Struthio camelus: one gene and its partners. The protein of the gene in region 2 purifies or fractionates together with the protein of the main gene of each other region. This does not show direct contact. Links are inferred from orthologs where the notes say so. Each region holds a gene or a part of one and is shown on either strand. Other genes may lie near its edges. The genes, in order: EDC4, DCP1A and PNRC1.

What was found.
Region 1: the proteins of DCP1A (region 2) and EDC4 purify together in Homo sapiens (co-immunoprecipitation; 9 studies listed by BioGRID and IntAct, with this or other methods). This does not show direct contact. The link is inferred for Struthio camelus from reciprocal best matches to the Homo sapiens genes DCP1A and EDC4.
Region 3: the proteins of DCP1A (region 2) and PNRC1 purify together in Homo sapiens (affinity purification with mass spectrometry; 3 studies listed by BioGRID and IntAct, with this or other methods). This does not show direct contact. The link is inferred for Struthio camelus from reciprocal best matches to the Homo sapiens genes DCP1A and PNRC1.

Annotation. Positions count from the first base shown.
Region 1 is NC_090951.1:24,310,246-24,313,990, forward strand, and holds the start of EDC4 (enhancer of mRNA-decapping protein 4), read left to right. Parts: upstream 1-1,078; 5' UTR 1,079-1,218; coding exon 1,219-1,297; intron 1,298-3,745. UniProt on the Homo sapiens protein: In the process of mRNA degradation, seems to play a role in mRNA decapping. Component of a complex containing DCP2 and DCP1A which functions in decapping of ARE-containing mRNAs. Promotes complex formation between DCP1A and DCP2.
Region 2 is NC_090955.1:17,446,199-17,449,943, reverse strand, and holds the start of DCP1A (mRNA-decapping enzyme 1A), read right to left. Parts: upstream 2,240-3,745; 5' UTR 845-2,239; coding exon 401-844; intron 1-400. UniProt on the Homo sapiens protein: Necessary for the degradation of mRNAs, both in normal mRNA turnover and in nonsense-mediated mRNA decay. Removes the 7-methyl guanine cap structure from mRNA molecules, yielding a 5'-phosphorylated mRNA fragment and 7m-GDP.
Region 3 is NC_090944.1:49,907,800-49,911,544, reverse strand, and holds PNRC1 (proline-rich nuclear receptor coactivator 1), read right to left. Parts: upstream 2,880-3,745; 5' UTR 2,879-2,879; coding exon of another isoform or gene 2,810-2,878; 5' UTR 2,703-2,809; coding exon 2,274-2,702; intron 1,600-2,273; coding exon 1,159-1,599; 3' UTR 481-1,158; downstream 1-480. UniProt on the Homo sapiens protein: Nuclear receptor coactivator. May play a role in signal transduction.

The DNA of each region.
Region 1 (3,745 bases), on a different chromosome or scaffold from region 2:
GTTCAAAGAGCTAAGAGAGAGGTTTAGTTTCCAGGAATGCTACATGTTGCCAGTGTTAGTTTAACAGCAAATCTAAAATGAAAATTCTTTAAACCCTTAAAACTTCTTTGAAGTTATCCCATGCAGTTGTAACTGGCTATAGGGGGAGGAAGTGGGCCATAATAATACTTTTCCACAATAGTACTTTTTTTTTCCCCTCCTTTCTCCACGGAGTCATTCATTCCTGGTTCCTTACCTGGAGGAAACAAATGCCAGTGTTTCTGAATCAGTATTGCTTAATGCTTTCAGATCTGCAGGTCACTTTTGAGGCCTGTGATATGTGAACAGGTTTGCTGCCTCTTAACTGAATGCTTCTTTCTTGTACCCTTGTCTCGGTGCAAGTGTTAGACTGAGCCCTGAACAGTCATGTTCCAAGTTAGGGGGCTTCTTGGAGAGGTGGAGATAGCTGCCTGTAGTTGGAGAAAGGGAGCATTACATGTGATGGGTTTTTTTTTCCCCCAAATGACCTGTCTCACCCCTTTCAGAGCGAAACTTCTGGAACCCTATCATGGTATTGCATGCAGTTTGGTTGGAATTTCATACTGGCTTTGAAACTAGTGCTATTCATAGCCACATTAAAAATATGTCTTAAGAAAACTCTGAATGTGGTTCTTGAAGGCAACAGGTAATCTACTTTGCAGGGAGCTATGTGAGGATAGGGAAAGGAGGAACATTTTCCTCTTCAGAAGAAGGGGATGACTTGCTTCTCTTCTCTCCTACTTAATATCTGCCTTTTAATCGCCTGAAGAAAGCGAGGCCCAGCCCTGCTCCTCCAGCTCCTCCAGGTGAGAGGAGCAAGGGTGAAGCCTGGCCCGGAGTCACGAGTGTCGGGGTGGGGGGGTACCTGGGGCCCCTGGCGGCAGCTCCCCGGCCCCTGCGCGGCCGGGTCGGGCACCTGTCAGAGCGGGGACGAAGGGAACTCGCTTCAGCCCCGCCCGCTGGAGCAGCGCCTGGGGGCCGCCGGCGGCCCTGGCCCGCGCTGTCTCCCCAGGCGGCAGCAGCCCCGGGGCGGGGCTGCTCTGCCCCTGCCGCGCCCGGAACGCGCCGGCCCGGCGGAGGTTTCCGCCCGGTGCTTCAGCAGCGGGACCGGAGGCGGAAGTGGGGGCGGCGGGCTGGGGTAGGTAGGGGTAGCGCGGCGGCGGTTGCGCGGGCTGTGGCGACAGGAACCGGGCTGGCCCCATGGCCTCCTCCTCTAGCATCGACATCGAGGACGCGACCCAGCACTTGCGGGATATCCTCAAGCTGGATCGGCCGGGAGGTGAGGGGACCGGGGCCCGAGGGGGCGCGGGGAGGCCGCTGCCGGTGGGCCCGGTCGCCGCTGTCGCCGCCGTGGCGGTGCCGGCCGCAGGTGTCAGGAACCGTGCTATCCTGCCCCAGACCTGCACCACAAACCTCTGCTCAGCCACTTGGCCCCGTTGGGGGGGGGGGGGAGGGAAGCACCTGTTCGCGGCCCACAGTGCGCTGTAGCTTTGCCGTCGTTGTTGCTCAGGGCCCTCCGTCTCGAGGCCGGGCCCTACCCGTAATTTGGGCCTCGAGCCCCACGCGACCGGAGCAGCACTGCCGTATGGTGGCCGCTGCCTGCCCGCCTTGCGCTCACTGCTGGGGCACTAGTGGCATCATTCTCTGTAGCTCGGGGTGGCTGGCTCCATCCCTCTGAGGTAAGAGCGAGGGTGGTCAGGGAGTCCCACTTGCCCTGAATCTTTTGCCAAGGAGCACAGACTTTAGTGGCAAAGTTTGTACCAGCTGGGTAAGGAGAGGACCCCAGTGACTGGTAGCTCAAATAAAATCCAGAGCAGGCCCTCGCTTACAAGAGACAGCATCTGTTGCTGAACAGGGCCTGGAAGCCGTGTGGACGCAAAGCTCACTTTTTCTAGTGAGCTCTAGTGATTTCTGAATTCTCTTTTCTAAGAGGTGTCGTTGTCTCTGAGTAGGTCAGCACAGTTCAATTCTCCACTCAAGTCTCTCTCCTTTGTTAAAAAAGTTTTGAGGTCTTTGAAGTTTTCTTACTGGACTGAGTGGATGGGGCTATTTGGTCTCTCTGAGATTGGCACTGTCCTCACCCTTTTCAGTCCCTTTTTCATTTGAATGTAAAATGGGCTTCGTGTCATAAACATCTCTCTAAAAGCAGTGGTGAATCTTCTCCCTTTGCTTTGAGCGATTATACTTCTCTGCTCTGAGTTCAGTGGATCAGTCAGTGTCTTTCTACCCATGAGAAATATCTGTAGTAGACGGCAATGGTCTTAGCAGTCAGCTGTATAAAATGTGTTCCAACTCCCTTTTAGCATAGTATCTCTCTCTCAACCCCCCAACATAGCTTTTGGACCTTCTGGACTGTTTCAGTCTAACCTGGTAGGGTAGTGAGCTGAAGAAGATTGTTCCTAGATGTTTTGCAGAAGCATAGTGTATGGATAGAGAACAGAAATTATGCCCTCTTCCTTTTCCCTCATTGAGAGCATAAAGAAGAGCTTCATTTTTTAAGTGTCCTGAGAGACAACACCCAGTCTGTCAGTACAAATACACTAATGCCAAGGCAACTACTGTATGTGCTGTCTTTTGCTTGGTCAAAACGATGAGAGGTTGGATGTAGGATTGTTGTGAGGGAAGTGGAGGCACATGGGGTGACAGATGCAAATCTGTCGTAAGCCAGGGTTTGTTAGTTTTGGTGTCCATAGAGAAACTTCTAATTAGTTGAAGTAGTTTCTCTTATTTTTGGAACACTTAGATTCCCCAGGATTTTAATACTAATAGTGTAAAAATACACTTCTCCTTTATAGTGCAAGGCTTTGTACTTGAAAGATTGAAAGGAGAACTCAATGCTGTGATGGGGAGTGTTTGTTTCATGAGCAATTCATGAACTGGAAGGATGTGTCGTAACTGGGAAATGGTTGAAGTTGTTCTCTCAAGGTGACTTGACTTCCCCCTGAAGCAGCTTCTCTTGCTGTTAGAAGCAAAGGAATTGGTCATTGAGAATGGCTTATATCTTTTCATTTTTCTTCTTTGAAATTGATTCCTGTCCTTTGCATCTCATTTTCTTTATACCTTCTCTGTCAACTCCAGCGCATGAGAAAGTAGTTAGGAGGAAAAGGAGTGAGTGGACTGCGAGTCAAGCAGTAACGCGCCTGTATTTGTGCTCAGCAGGAAGTGTTGCCTGTGTAGCAGCAGAGACTTTAAAGAGCTGGACAAAATGAAGAGCAAGAGTACTTGTTTGTTAACTGAAAGGCTCTGAAAGGCCTATGAACACAACAAAGGGAAAGGGAAATTGAGGGATTGATTCATCAAAGCTTTTGAATAGAAGCAGTGCCATGAATTGCATGTGAAGGGCTAGTCTTGTCTGGCATAACAGCTGCTGCTGTCAAGATCCTCTCCAGTTCTAGTTTCTGTTATTCGTAGCATTTACAAACTAAAATACCCCACAAAGAATAGTGTAGCTGCTTTCCAAGCCTCTGAACAGTAAGAAAGTTTTGCCTTGCAGTTATGAGCAGTATTATGTTATTCTAGGTGCTCTCCGAGCACGTGACGAGATGCTCCCTGCTCCAAAGAGTTTGCAGCTATTGTAACACTTTCTTTGTTCTGCTGTTTTTGGTGGTTGTGAAAATGCAGTTCCTCACCTGTACCCCATCTCTCTTGATAGAGGTTTTACTTGATTTCAGTGTATATCATTCAGAACTTCAGTAGCTCTTGCCTTTTTTTGGTGTCATTCCCTCAA
Region 2 (3,745 bases):
TTCTCCCCACATTAAGGCTCTGAACTACCCATTAAGAACAAAAACAAAAGATCACACTTGGGAAAAAAAAAAAAAAAAAAAGGCAATCCGGCAACAGCCCCCACGAGCCGAGGAGGCCTGAAGGAGCACCACTGTCCCGCAGGCAGATGCGCCTTCCCCTCATCTCCTGGGGTGTAAACGGGGCGGGCGGCAGGCCGCGGCGAGGCACCGGCAGCTCAAACCTCCCCCCGGCAGCAGCGGCCCAGGGCGGAGGCGAAGGCGCCGGCGCCGTCCCCGGCGGGGGGCCGCCCGGGGCGGGCACGGGCGGCCGGAGCCCCCCCCCCCGCAGCTCCCAACGGCCGCGGCGGGCCGGGCCGCCCGCTGCCGCCCTCCCCCGCTCATGCCGCTGCCTCTCACTTACCCACTCGTTGGCCTTGGGGCTGAAGCTGTAGAGCGCTACCTGGCCGGTCACGTCGGCGATGCTGGTGATGTAGGGGTCGTGCTGCTTTAAGGCCGCCAGGCTGATCTCCTGCCCCGCTCTGCTCAGCGACTCCATCTTGGATCCCGGCAGCAACCGCGGGGGCGGGCAAGAAACGGCGGCGCGGCGTCCCCGGCGCACCCGTCCCCGCCGCCGGCCGGAGCGCCGGCCCCGCGCCTGCCGTTCCGCGCCGCGCCGCGCCGTTCCGTTCCGTTCCGCTCCGCTCCGCTCCGCTCCGCTCCGTGCCCGGCCGCCCCCGCCGCCTCCTTCGCCCGGAAATAAGCCTCGAGCCTTCGGTGCTCGCCGCCTTCGGGTTTTGTTGGGGGCGCTCTGACCACTCGATGACACTGCCGTTTGTGGAAGGGTACACGTTGACCCGACTGCCATTGAACTGCAGGGCCTGGGCCGTCTGGCTTAAAAATGAAAACGCTTTTCAAGTTTGAGGGTTAACGTTCAGCTGACACCCAACAGTTAGAAGGGGGCATCTCTGAGCTTTCCCGTATGTCCGTCCGCAGGCACCGAGGGTTTCCTCGGTTGCCGTACGCCGTGTCCCGGAGGCCTCTGCCCCGCGCCCCCGCCAGCCCAGCGCTGGGGCCGTGAGCAGGTGGCCCGGATCCCCTCGGGCCCCGGGTGCCCCGGGTGGGCCCCCCCGGCGCTATGGCTGAAGGGGGTCCAGCCCTCCCGGCACGGAGGGATCCCGACCTCCAGCCCCGGCCGAGCCCCGTGCCTTGTCCCCTCGGGCCCGCTGCCCTGCATTTGCAGCCCACCGTCTTCTTCCGAGCTGTTTCTCCACGCCTGGGCGTTTCTTCATGGCAATGGGACAGGTTAAGCAAAGGTCTCCGCGTTGCACCCGCTGTGAGCGGTCATTGTTTCTATCGTTGTCATTTATTTGCTAGCGTTACTAGTATGAAGGCTTCTGAGTTCGCGGCAGGCAAGCGCGCGAGGGGCTGCGAGCTGGGTCATGGGGTGGCGGAGCGACCTCCCCGTGGTCGGTGGTGTCTGTTCCCTCCCGCTCTCCCTGGGCCACGCAGCCGAGAAGCGGGTGGGTGGGAGGTTGTTCCTGCCGGGCGTCCGCTGCGGCGGGCGCCGTCGGGGAGCGGAGCCTGCTGAGGAGGGCGACGGCGGGTGGCGCGCAGAGCTGCGGTCTCTGCCTCGGGGGCTCCCCACGCTTCTCGCAGCTATTCACCATTAGCTGGTGTCCGAATGCTTCACAGTCTGCAGCAGGACTTGGAGTTTCCAATATGTTAAAAGAATTTTGGAATTAAGAACTTTCAATTTTCTCAGGTATAGTAGACATAGCAACTCGCGTATGTGGTACAAATTGTACGCAAGTAATGTTGGAGCAATGACAAGGTAACATGCTGTGCTCTCTCAGCTTTGTTCCTGCAATTTTTTTTTAATCGTAAGTGATATTTTAGCAACAGGAAAGTATAAAATATACACTTAGGACCAAGACATGAATAACATTCAAAACAATATCACAGGGATTTACACTTGGTAGCATTTTGTGCAATCTGACAGGAATAAAACAGCATTGTAAATTTCGAAACAAAACCATCTTTGTGGCAAGATGGTTTCTTTCTGACCCTTCTGGGAATGCAAGGAAGTTCCTCTAAGCTCTGTATTACCAGGTCATGTTCTTCGTTGCAGGCAGACACACTCCTGATTTTAATTCAATTAGCTTTTCAGTTTAGACTTCTCCCGCAATGACAGACGCTTAATGCACAAGCATCAGCAATGATCCAGCAGGTCTGTGGCTCAATAAAACATCTTCCTCATGAACAATGGACAGGCCCAGTTCCGGTATCATTTTTTTCCGTAAAAGTAAAGCTTCTTGGAATGAACATTAATTTATGTCTTTTGTTGTTAAATAGTTCTAATTTAAAGTAAGCAGACATTTTTTAGAAAAAAAAAAGTGAAGTTTGGACAAAAAATTCCCATGTAGCTCATTCCAATAACTCACAGCTGAATCCTTAGACCTAAGCATCAGTAAAAAAAAAAAAATCATAAAAATCATATGATATGTCTTAGAGAGTTCTATGAAACTTTCATCCCCTTCTAATGATTTTTACCACAGGAGGGCATGATCTATTCCATAAAATTTGGCTTTTCACTGGTTCTGTTAGTAAAGTGTGTAAAGCTGTTCTCATCAAAGAGCAAACAATGACAGTTAGCATAATGTTAAAAATATCTTCATGTAAAATGTCCAATTACTATTCAGTAACACTCTAACTTGAGAAAAGATAGTATGTAGAAGTTAACATTTGAAAATTTTTTAACAAGAGGGTGTTCAACATTCTAAGGGCTCAAGTGAAACAGCAACAAAATGACAAAAACCTTTTAACATTTTATTTTAAATGGCATCTTTAACACCTGCACCAATCTACTCCTTTCTTTTGAGTCAGACTCAAGCAAGACTACTGTAAAGCAAAGATATATTTCAAAGTAAGAAACTTCTTGACAAAGGACAGCTTTCTGCTGTGCCAGATCTTCTCAAGCATGAAAACTCCTTGGCTGCGTCTTGAATTAAAAGTGAAGCATGAGGAGCATTGATAACAAAAACAAGTGGTGGTTTCCGCTTATGGATTGTTTTCCTCCTTCATCTGCTAATTCCAATTCTGCCTTACAGAGAATGTATTCTCTCTGCCCTTCTTCACTGCTATTGCCTTAGAATGAAATATTTTATATCAGAAATGAGTCATACGGCCTACCATCTGCTTCCTCAACCTTGAAGTACACCAAAGTATAACATATACTTAGCCTCAAACTTTGACCTCAGTGTAAACTGAAATGTTAGTTATATCCATTTAGGCTTGTTCTATGACTATTATATTTTGCAGATATCTTTGTCCTTCTTTGGAGTTACTCAGCAGTTAGTGCTGGGGAAATGTTCATCTCTCACTATTTCTGATTCTTGCGCTAAACCAGACAGAAGTGGGATGATGTAGATAATGCCCTTCTGATGTTTTCTCTGTGAGTGGGACAGATTCCATTTGTGTTTCAACAAGTGAAGAGAACATTATGTTCTGTATTTCAGTTATTCAGCTGAGGTTTTACAGGACAGGACATGCTGGTTTATACCTTAAGTACTGTTAATCTGTTTGATACAAATTAATGTTCAAATAGGCTAAATAATAAGACCCTTTTTTACCCCTTCAGTTGCTTGTGACAGCATGACTGGGTCTTTCTATTGCTCCCTGCTCTACTCTTTGGAGTTGTGCAAACTCTTTTTCTTTTTCACACAGCAGATTGTTTAAATATTCCTAAAGCGTATTTGGAGCACAGTCA
Region 3 (3,745 bases), on a different chromosome or scaffold from region 2:
CCCTCATTTTCCTTAAGCAGCAGTCCTCCTTTACAAGCTCAAAGGATAGCTTTCACCAAAAGAGAAATTTGGTGAAAAAAATATGAACTTTCCCCATGCCTTTCTCACTGCTGCTCTTTGGCATCAGTACTTTATCGGTACTTTAATGATCACTTAATATGAGAGCAGTTAAGTAGCATTCCAATGGAAATTTGAATGCTTAATTCCCGAACTGTCTCGAAATCTGCATTGTCAAGAAACAAGATTAGGGATTCTCAAATGATACATCTCAAAGGCAACATATTGTGACAACCCCATGGGATTCTTGATGGGCTATCAAACCTCTTAACTCTTCAGATAATTAAAGGTCATGAGAAGGACATAAAAATTCATCTTATTTAGTTATGCCCTAACAAAAGTAATCATATAATTTAAGTTCAAACATTTGAATTAAGAGCATTAGAAACAACAACAACAAAAAAAAAAAACATACAGACATGCTTAAGGGGAGGCCAAATTGTTTTATTTCAATTTTTCGTAACCAATTATATTTTTGGCAGAGAGCTCTGCTCTTTTCTTTTTTTCCCTTTAAAGAAATCAGCAGTGCTCAAGTTGATGGGTTGGAATTTTACTCAAATTCCAGGTAATTTTACAACAAACAGATGACCAGGAATTCCAGACACTGTTTCCAGAGCAGAGAGCAAAAGTTCACATTTGCATGAAAATTCCATGTTTATACTTGATTGGGCCACAGAATGTAAAATTATTATCAGTAGTGCATGAATAAACCATTCACATTTGATCTAGAACCTTAATACCAGAAAGCTGTACTCTCCTTTCAAAACTTCAACACCTTGTGCAAATCAAGTCAAGTCTTCATGTGCCAAGCACACATTTAAAATTGTCCATATTTTATATACAAGACATCTACCATTCAGGCAGTGCAAAATACATCCTTTCATAACAAAACTAAAATGTACCTCTCGAAGTATGAACAAGAATATACACATAATACATGATGTACACTATTTACACAACCATAAAAAATATAATACAAGTTTTTTTTTTTTTTAAATGTGATTATAAGACTTGACAGTCTTTTGCAATTCATGTTGCAACAAGGCATGTTTGAGTTTCCTGGATGGACTTTTCTTTGCTACTACCCAGAGATCTCGGAAACTATGTTTGAACTTTTAGGAGAGTTTTCAAGTGGACTGCCATCAGCTCCCTGTTTTGGTCAGAAGGTTCAGCACTGCCACCCACCCAGTGGCTGGGAGGCTTTGGAAGGACACTAGGAGATGGTGGGTCACTAAATTTTGCCCCAGCATAGTTTTCTTTTTGGCTTGCTTCAGTTAGGGTGATAGGTTTCTTGGACTTTGCATTTCTGAAGTTCTCTGTGTTTTTAAGTGGCTTTTTCTCCTGCTTTTGAATTATTTCGGGCGACACAGTATCTTGCCAGAAGTTCTCTATTTTTTTTGCAGAGGTGATCTTTGTTAGTGGCATGTTACATTTACTCTTCTGCCTGTTAATCTTTGGTTGTTCACACAGATGTATACCGTGAACAGGCTGGCTGTGGGGGGCGGCAGCCTTCTCAGCCTTTCCCATCTTGTTCTTTAAGAACTGCGGAGACAAAGAACTCACGTCAAGGCACGACCCCCCTCCTCAACAGGGGCCTCCGGCAGCGCTAAGGCACACGAGTGCCAGCGGGGGGGGGGGGGGGGGCTCCGCCAGGGCTCGCAAAGGCGTTCCCGGGACGCCCTTCGCCTGCCTCTCTCGACGCACAGCAAAGCGAGACCGACTGCCACCCCAACGGCGGCGCAGAGAAGCCGCCGCTAGCTCGTCAGCCTCAAGGCGGCCCCGGGGGGGGGGGGGTAGCGGAGCTCTCTCCCTTTCTCCGCGGGGGCGCCCGCCCGCCGCCATGGGGCGCTACGCCCCTCGCACGTCCCGCCTGCGCGCGCAGGGCTCGCTGGCGCCCGGCCAGCAAGCTAAATCCGGCTGTTGCTGGGCGCAGCGGCCGCGTTGATTGGTGGAGCCAAGCAGCCAATCGCCGCCTGCAACTCCTCCCCCACCCCCCCCCGCCCGCCCGCCGAGCGAGCGTAACGGAAACTCTGCGCCCACCTCCGCCCCGCCCCGCCCGCCCGCCCGTCCATCCGCGCGCGCGCACACACACACACGGCGCGGGGGGGGGCGCAGCTCGCCCACCCCTGCCGCCGGGGACAAAACAAGTCTCCCGTCTCGGAGTGCGCGAGCAGGAACAGGAGAAGTAAATGGAAGTAGCGGAGCCCTTTCTGTACCTCCTTCCTGAGGGGTTTGCTGGACGCTGGTCTGGAAGGGGCGGGCGCAGGGGGCTCCTCGGGGGGACTCGTTACCATGCTGGGGGCGGCGGAGACAGCTGGTGCAGGGGGAGGGCGAAGTTCGCCCGGGCCGTGTGTTCCCAGCGGGGTCCTTCTCCCCAGGCCGGCGCGATGCTGTTGGTACTGTTGGTAGCGGCTCGGCAGGAGCCCCGCGGGGCTGGGCCGGATCTTTCCCTTCCTCCGCCTCACTCTCTTCAGCGCAGGCCGCGCGCTGCCCCCCGGACCCGCCAGGCAGCAGCTGGGCTGGTTCTCACAGTTGCTGTCCCCTCGCCTGAGGTGCTGGAGTAGAGTCGAGGGCAGCCGCCTGGGGTCTTCGGTGCCTGCCGAGATCCGAGCCAGGAAGGGCGGCGGCGCCGTGGTGGTGACCATGGTGAGCTGTGGGTACCCAGAGCTGTAGAGGGGAGAGGGGTCGAGCCCAGGCAGGGATGGATAGTTCGGGTCGCTAGGGAGTGTCCACCTGGGCTTTGTGGGCTGAGATGGTGGCGCGATCAGACCCGCTGCTAGGAGAACATGGCGGGGGAGTGAGAGGAGCAGGCAGCAGCGCCCCAGTGTTGTTACACGAGACGGCCACGCCCCCTTCCGCCCCCGCGCCAATCGCCGCGGGAGGAAGGCGCAAGGGTCACGCCCCTCCGCTGGATACCGCCAATCGCAGGGAAACGACAGCCTCTGTGGCCCCGCCTCTGCCAATCAGAAGCGACACAAACACTTCGGGACACGCCCGCTTCCGTACGCCGCCCAATCCGGGCAGACACAAACAGCGGACACGCCCCAGTCTCCGAGTCACAGGCCCACAGCGCGAAGCGAAGGGACGGAACGAACTGCTCTCCTTTCGAGAGCGACCGGCCAATCGGGCGGCGCGCGGGCAGGTTAGGCCACACCTCCGCGCCGCCGCGCAGCCAATCGGCGAGGACGTAAACACGGGGCGGCCCGCCCCTCGGCGGGAGGCGGGTGCGCGTTGCAGGGGATGGAGGTGCCGGTGCTGCGGCCTGCTGCGGCGGCCCCGATCCCGGCCCCGGCCCCGGCCCCGGCCGAGGGGGCGGCGGCGGCGGCGCGGCGCGACGAGCGGAGCCTGGAGGCGCTGAGCCTGGCGGGCGGCGCGGCGGCAGCGCGGCAGCAGCAGCAGGCGGCGGCGGCGGCCGCCGCGGAGGGGCGGCGGGCGACGCTGGCGAGCGCCCTGGAGCTGGAGGGGACGGTGCTGCGCGAGGGCCGCCTCACGCAGTTCGTGGCCAACAACCTGGAGCGGCGGATCCGGCTGAGCGGCGCCCCGCGGGGCGAGGCGGCGGCGGCGGCGGGGCCCATCCCCGCCATCGACCCCGGCGCGCTGCAGGACGTGGTGGCCCTGGCGGGGCAGGTGGCGGCGCAGGTGGACGAGCTGCTGCGCAACGTGCACTGCGGCCTGCAGGCCCTGACGG